Bombyx mori: one gene and its partner. The protein of the gene in region 2 purifies or fractionates together with the protein of the main gene of each other region. This does not show direct contact. Links are inferred from orthologs where the notes say so. Each region holds a gene or a part of one and is shown on either strand. Other genes may lie near its edges. The genes, in order: sterol regulatory element-binding protein 1 and sterol regulatory element-binding protein cleavage-activating protein.

Region 1 (4,409 bases), on a different chromosome or scaffold from region 2:
ATTTATGAAAACATGTATCATTCCTCCGTTCCATTCATCATCATGTATCATCAATCATTCCTTAAGTTACTACGACTGTATACTGTCAGTCCTTAACATAGGTAACGAATAGCAGTGAGAGTACTGAACAGTGCTCGCAGTGTAAATCGGAGCATAGCCTTCACTGCAATCCAGCACACTTCACTCAGTTTAAAACTTCTATATTCATACTATTTCCCCTTGCTACACTAGCGCTAATTCGGTGAGTTTTCGAACTATAATTTGCTGTTTACAGATAGACACTTTTTCAACATGTCCCTTAAACAAGATGGTGCTCCTTACCTCTACCCTCCATATGTCCCACAAATGTGGGATAATGTGAAATTGCCACACTAAAAAAAAGCAGAACAAATAACAACAATTACCTACTTCAAAATGTGTACCGTACTTAAGTAGGTACTGTAAATAACACTTTTGAGGAAATGTTCTAAGGCACTTATTTTACCGGAAGCAAACAGTACGGTACCGTATGTAAAGAAATTTAATGGACCTACAGTTTCAGACATTTGTTAAAGTAGTAGTAATTCTATTTTTCCAACTGGAAAGGCAAAGGTATGCTGCCATACTGCCTAATCTTTTGTAATTTTTTTATATAAGAAATGAAATGAAATTATGTGATGAGATGATATGGGATGAAACATACTCTTAGTAAAATGGTGGTTATTTACTGAGATTTTATCAGTAAATAGCCACTGGAGTGCTTCCAGTGGATTTTTTGGAGGATCCCGAGAAGCTACGTTCATCGGCTTTGTTTCATTTTGACACATCTCTGCACTTTCACAGATACTAAACAGTTAATAAACTACCGTTATTAAACATTTAAACCCAAAGAAACATTAAATATACAAAATAAAACAACTCAGACAACTTCGCTCCTTGCGTTCCCGCCAAAAATTTCATTTGATAAACTCTTTTGTCTACATAATGAATTCATTACTAGCCCGTCGTAACGGGCTCCAGTAATGAATTCAAACTGAATTACTGTTAAATAATCGAGCTATTTATAGCTAAAGATTACACTGCTTAAAACAGAATATCATTCTGTTGTAGTATACAATAGCTCGGAACATTCCCAAAAACTTGTTACTCACAAGCATACATCATACCATTTTATATTTGCTCATATCACTTTCACATCCTAGGACAATATCAACATTTATAAGAATGTATGTAATTTTAGTTTGGGCGATAATGGTAAATGCGTGCCACACTTGCAATTTTCATTGCATCTCTCTCTTACGCCAATGCTTATATTAGTTTGTGTGGTTTCTGGTGAAAATTTGGAGATAATCTATCTGCCAATGTGCGGCATACTCTGGGCCGGTGCGAATGTAAAATATGCACCCAGTCTAAAACTGTGACGTAAAATCGGACCACAGGATAGCTCTCACCGATTGGTCGATGGAGAATCATCAGATAAACGTCAAAATAATGCCAAAATTTGTAAATAAGAATAATTTCCAAAAACACCTAATTAAATTCTTGTTATGGTTTTATGGTTTAAGAATTGTTAAAAATGGATATTGATCCTTTTATGAATGCGGACGTTTTCAATGTCCACGACATTGCAGAAATTGAAGGCAAGTGTAATTGCTTATGACTATTGCGAAGTGTGAACACGATAAGCAATACATATATCAATTTAATGTTATTTTACAGATTTTTTAAATAATTGCGATGGGGATTTTATGACAAAATTAGAACAGGAACTTACTTTTGTGGACAATACAAATGAAACAGGGCTGTTGGACATTGATACGAAATGCAAGCCTGAAATTTCATCATCTCCACAAGTTTCGCCGAATTATAATCATACCGGGAATCCAGTGATGTCACAGCACACGCATAGAATTAGGCCAACGCCCCCGATCAGTAAAACAATACAAGGTGGATATATTAAAGAAGAGAAATTCAATTTGCCAACATCCCTTGAGAATGCGTCCGTGACGTTTCCTGAAGTTATACCACAACAGAGGACTCAAGTTCAAAATCAGCCGATGATTTTTCAACAAGTAGTACAGAGCCCCGTGTTTGTTAATTTGGGTCCGGCTGGAAATATCCAACCTATGCCTGACAAAAGGTCAAATGTCATTCAAGTTGATAATGTTCCACAAGTAAATAAAACTAGCCCCCTAAAACAGCAGAGTCAACCTCTACTGATACAAAACAATCCCAAAGGTGTACCTTTTATATTAAAAAGTTCTGATTCTAATTTCTCACCAGTGTTATTGCAGTCGAATATCATTAACCCAAAGACACAAACGTTGATGTATACCAGTACTCCATTACAGGGTAAGTACAGATTGTGGTAAATTCTTTTTTATTCTGATGTTATGATAATGATAGTCAAGTTTAAATGGTTCTTTTTCTCAATCTTGCTAATATATCCAGTACTGGTTTACCATTGCACATTATTCAAAAAATGTAGTCAACAATATACAGTAATTGTTCTTTCCAGTTTCGAGCACAAACCAAAATATTATTACAAATGCAAAGGCAGGATCGGAGACAACACCCATACACACATTTTTTACAAACAGTAACGGTACTACTTTATTGACGGGAATACCTGCAGTTGTACTAGAAGGTGATAAAATTGCTTTAAACCCTGCACCAAACATTGGACCTCCAAAAGTGAAAGAAGTGAAACGCAGTGCTCACAATGCCATTGAAAGACGTTACAGAACTAGTATTAATGATAGAATAGTGGAATTGAAGAATATGCTTGTTGGTGAAGAGGCCAAGGTAACCAGTAATACTTATTTTTAATAACAATTAGTTTGAAAAGTTGAATTTCTTGTTTAATTTCCTCATATCCTGTTTACAGTTGAACAAGTCAGCAATATTGCGTAAAACAATTGAGTACATTAAGTATTTGCGAAGTCAGAACACTAGGTTAAAACAAGAAAATATAGCTCTTAAACAGGTTTGTCAAAAGTCTGGAGTTAAAGAGCCAATATTTGAAGGAGGTTATACTCCACCACACAGTGATGTGTCATCACCTTATCATTCTCCACATTCAATTGACAGCGACACACCTTCTTCACCAGAATACAAGGTAATTTTTTAATATAGTATATTACTACTTAGCATAATATTCCAATTGGAATATCCTCTGAAGTATAATTTTTGTGTAAGATTTTTTTTCATCTAAATTGTTTACATATCTGAATTTGTTATTAAAAGAAGATATTTTGTTTATTAAAGAAAATTCATATTTAATTTTATGAATTTGCAGACTGAAGATAAATACTCAAAGATAGTAATGGGTATGGGTGATCATTCACGACTGGCGTTATGTGCCTTCATGGTTGGGCTTATTGCTTTCAACCCATTTAGCACATTCTTTAGCAGTTTTACAACAGAGTATACAACTACAGATTTCAATGCAAGAATTGATCAAAGAAAAATTCTATCAGAAGATGATTCAAGTTTGTTTTCATTTAATATTTTATGTGTATCTTATTATGAAAATCAGTTTTAAAGAAATAAGCTTGATACAAAAAAGCGTAGTTTTTGAAATATTGGTTTAGGAACAAAAAAAATTGCAACTATAAAAATATATTAAACTTTTTTTCAGGTTATGAAGGATCATCTTGGGCGATTTGCGTTTTTAATACATTCTTTATATATCTTGTTAACTTTGTAATACTCGGAGGCTGTTTGGTAAAGTTACTAGTTTATGGAGATTCTGTACCAAAAAGTCAGTCCAAGGAAGCTGGTTTATTCTACAAACATAAAAGGCTTGCTGGCAACCATCTTAAAAAGGTAAGTGAATCATAATTTAATTATACCTGAACAATGCATTTCATTGCTGCTTTGCAAATAAATAATAAATAAATAGTTAATTCTCGATCCAATTTATATCTGAAGTTCATACTTTCATACAATGAAAATAAATATGTATTCGTTAAGGAATACAGCTACTAATACATTGTTCTGTTTGGAATATAGTACAGTACAGTGTCCGTATCCTTTCGTCCCTTTTAGCATTATGTAGACAGGGCATTTTTACTAAATCTAGATTAAGAATAAAATAATTTGTAAAACATGTATAAACTTTATTTTCAGGGCGATCTAAATAATACGCGACTAGAACTCCATCGAGCATTGGAAGCATGTGGAAGAAGTGTCCAGGCAGGTGGCCCAGGTCAAGCTAAGTACACGGCCCTCACAGCGGCTGTGCTTCGGCAGTTGCTGCAGAGATTACCGTTCGGTGGCTTCCTTGCACGACGCGCCGGAGATCTGTGGAGGGACAGGTGAAAAGAAAAATTTCAGCAAATCTATATCTATACTAATATTATAAAGAGGAAAGATTTGTTTGTTTGTTTGTATTGAATAGGCTCCGAAACTACTGAACCGATTTGAAA
Region 2 (3,836 bases):
GTGAATTTTTCCACACTTATAGAGAATATAGAGAAGGAGAGCAGAATGCTATATTATTTTATATTATGCATTAAACATATATTAAATCAATAAAAAAACATAACACACACTACCATGTATTTAACACGCACGCATATATACGTGTTTATTGTCAAACTTTTAGTCTGTGGTCAAATTGAGAATAGATTAATATTGTTTGTCTTTAATATTATTTGTCTATAGTGTGGTCTTGGCTAAATCTGTGATTATAGAAGTATAGTATTTGACAATAGAACCATAATAATGTCCAAACGTATAATTTCAATTAATTATAATGGAATTTCGACTACAAAGAGACCACTAGTATAATTTAATAAGATTTAATAAGATGTTATAGATAAATATTTATTTAAATCAGTCTAGTAGATATTGCGCTGCTCAATAAAAAAAGACAGAGGAAAATGTTTTATTGGGTATTATATTACATTACATAAACATTACATAATGTTTGAATCGGGTATTATATTACACCTAAATGTAACATTTTTTTTTTCAATGTATAGAATATAATAATATAATTCTGTACATTCCTGTTCGAGTCTTATAATAATATTATAACAGTGAAAAGTCGGAGAACGTGGCGACTGCTATTATTCTAAATCAGTGTGATGTCACGTCGATGTAAAATAAAAAATCAAATATTTGGATTTTAATTACAGCTCAATGTCATCACGCCGTTCTGTAGATAATTAGTATGAATGCTAACAAAACGTTCTTTATTTGAATTTAATATCAAATTTGTTAGTATTTGCATTATAGAAACAGCTGATTAGTACGGTAGGTACCTAGGAATTAGTTGGGAACACTTTAAAGTAGAATAAGTTTAAAATTTTTAGGTCTATAACCGATATATACTCACATGAGTAGGGGTTAGTGGAAACATATGATTAACATTCAACATTTTATTAGTGGTGGGACCTCTTATTTCTGCCGTGAAGCAGTAATGCGATTTGGTTTGAAGGGTGGGGCAGCCGTTGTAACTATACTAAGACCTTAGAAGTTATATCTCAAGGTGGGGGGCGCATTTACGTTGTAGATGTCTATGGGCTTCAGTAACCACTTAAGACCAGGTGGGCTGTGAGCTCGTCCACCCATCAAAGCAATAAAAAAACTTGTTAGTGCCTTAAAGTTTTTTTTTAATTTACATTTTTTTTTGGACGAGCGTACTGCCCACCTAGTGATGAGTAGTTACCGCCGCCAGCAATGCCAGGGGCACAGCCAACCCGCTGCCTACCGTTAAGTACTCTCTAAAAGCCTCGTTTGAAGAGGTATTTAAGGACATTACAAACAACTATTTAAACTTTAAAAGATGTACGAGAGTTACGTTTTGTTGTTGTTCAGATTCGAACGTACAATTAGAAAAACGACCAGAAAGAAAATTGTAGAATATTGTTTAACTATGTATATAAAGTTGACGTGGGTGTGTATGTTACATACAAACTCCAAAACAACTAGCAAGATCTTGATTATTATTTTTTTAAATATTCTGATTGCCTTGGCTGGCTAACCTGTTTGGTACCGATTGAATCAAAGTCAAATCAAAGATCAACCCACATAGGGTGCCGGATTTGACAAAATTTACATGAAACATGATTGACGTAACACGAAACTGATGACTCACAAATCTGGATCTTCGTGATTTCTGATGGTTTCTAACAACCGGAACACTTCTTGGATTGGAGCCCGGAACGCGTCCCACATTTTCAAATTCGAATTCCATGGTGATACGCCTGGAATATCAGAACGCAATTTGTTTTTTTTTAATACGTCAATGTAATAAAATAACTATAATCAATCAAAATTATATTTATTGTTTTTTGGGCGTAAAACTAACCAAACATGACGATGTATGTTTATGTAAATATACGAGTATAACACTATTATGATTTTTGGCATACTAAAACCAAAAGTATGCAATGTGAATTGTATTTACGACCATAGAAGACTTTGCGTCTTAAAACTATTACGAGTATGTGCCCTCGATTCCGACCTCAAAATTATCAAATCAGTTTTATTTGTCAAACGATTGGGACAAAATAAACAGTAAGTTGAAACATATCATAACCTAACACTTCGAATATCATTCTAAGACATTCCTTGAACACATTTCAGACGTTCCTTGAAGTTACAAGTATGTAGTTCGTCTATACTCTTGAATACCCTTAACATCAAGGAGGCATGACATTGTGAAATGCTGACAACACCAGTCAAAAAAAAATCAATGTAAGCAACGATACATTTCTTCAACGTGAATAAAAAGTATTTGTTGTGTCTGTTCATTTTACATATTTTATAATGATCCATAATAGTATTTATTATTGGTGTACTTTTTTAAGGTCAAGGAACAATAAAATGTAGACGTTAATTATCGACTCGTTCATGTTTGATTAATGATACGGTTTATTATTTCTAGCTAAACCCACTAATGGCTTGGTTGAGTTGATAAATTCACGGCGTGTCTTGCGTGCCGAGCGCCCAAGCTCACGCAATGATTCGTGTCTCATCCGTATTGAATGCGTGTTTGATTCGCGTCACACAAACGATATGATGTTTGACGATAGCCCACGTGGGAACACAAACAGCTTGGATATACCCTACAGTTTTAGTAAGACGACACCAACGAAACAGCGTTATGCGATAGCTGATTGACGCAAAACCGTTCACGTCGCCACCCCCCATTGAGTCATGAAGTCGTATTGACGAGCGACAGACAAAAAGGAACCAATGCTGCTAATATTTGCAATCTTAACACCTCTTCTTGTTCATACAGGAGATACTTTGTCAAAGCTAAAAGATAAAGAAAGACTAATATTGAATAACTTGGACCATACTTTTTAGACCACTTTAAAAGTCCAAATAAAGCTCTGGACGAAAGTGAATCCCCAAAAGTTCAATGAACGTCTAATAAAAAAAGAATAAGATACTTTATTGAATGTATATGCACTTACCAATTTTTAAAATGATTTGTTGAACATACAGTAGCGGTTTGTCCTTTGCCCAAATATATGGAAGTCTTTGCGTTTCATTGAATAGAAGGTCCAACTGAGAAGTAGGTGCTGCAAAATGTAGAAGCAAACTATAAAAATATGAATTTAATTAAGATCTATTAGTGTGTAATGAATCATCTGTAGGTAAGACGCTCATAGACGACATAGTATGTGGGTGTAGACATGTGATAATGCCGTAACTCAATTCTCACACAGGTTAAATAAAATGACTAACTTTTATTTCAAAGTCTTTTATAATCAATTGCTTTTAAATTTATAGTTATATAAATTGATAGTCTGCTCAGAATACTGACCCACACAATGAATGTACAACTGTATGAAAAGACACGACGTACGAATTTCCATTCCCTTAAATCTTATTGTCTTCATTATCATTGTGTCTATGTTAACATGCCAATGGTGGTCTTCTCATGTCTAATCATTATATGGTACAGACCAAGAACTATGAGACGTTTTTGAGAAATGATTGACCTACTTTAAAATGTATGTACTATATACCCTTTAACGGTAGCTATTATCATGACCGATATCTTACTAGCGTTTCTATGCATTACAATGTGATTTTTAGAAGCAAATGGATTCTTAAGCATCGCGGGTTTAACGAAACTATCGGCTTGTGACAAATATATTTTCTTCCTGAATTCACTGTATAATGAGGTGTTATCAAAAATAAATACCAGGCATCAATAACTAGGTAAAATAATTATTATTATCACCCGCTGTTACTATAAAAATATGAATTTGTTCTGGAATAACAGATTTTTATTGAAGATACATATTATACAATTT

Evidence for each region.
Region 1: the proteins of sterol regulatory element-binding protein cleavage-activating protein (region 2) and sterol regulatory element-binding protein 1 purify together in Homo sapiens (affinity purification with western blotting; 4 studies listed by BioGRID and IntAct, with this or other methods). This does not show direct contact. The link is inferred for Bombyx mori from reciprocal best matches to the Homo sapiens genes SCAP and SREBF1.

Annotation. Positions count from the first base shown.
Region 1 is NC_085119.1:8,265,371-8,269,779, reverse strand, and holds the start of sterol regulatory element-binding protein 1, read left to right. Parts: upstream 1-1,395; 5' UTR 1,396-1,555; coding exon 1,556-1,619; intron 1,620-1,698; coding exon 1,699-2,331; intron 2,332-2,497; coding exon 2,498-2,784; intron 2,785-2,866; coding exon 2,867-3,097; intron 3,098-3,277; coding exon 3,278-3,470; intron 3,471-3,619; coding exon 3,620-3,807; intron 3,808-4,110; coding exon 4,111-4,298; intron 4,299-4,409.
Region 2 is NC_085107.1:13,866,970-13,870,805, forward strand, and holds part of sterol regulatory element-binding protein cleavage-activating protein, read right to left. Parts: intron 3,096-3,836; coding exon 2,988-3,095; intron 2,412-2,987; exon of another isoform or gene 2,152-2,411; intron 2,083-2,151; exon of another isoform or gene 1,805-2,082; intron 1,770-1,804; coding exon 1,661-1,769; intron 1-1,660. UniProt on the Homo sapiens protein: Escort protein required for cholesterol as well as lipid homeostasis.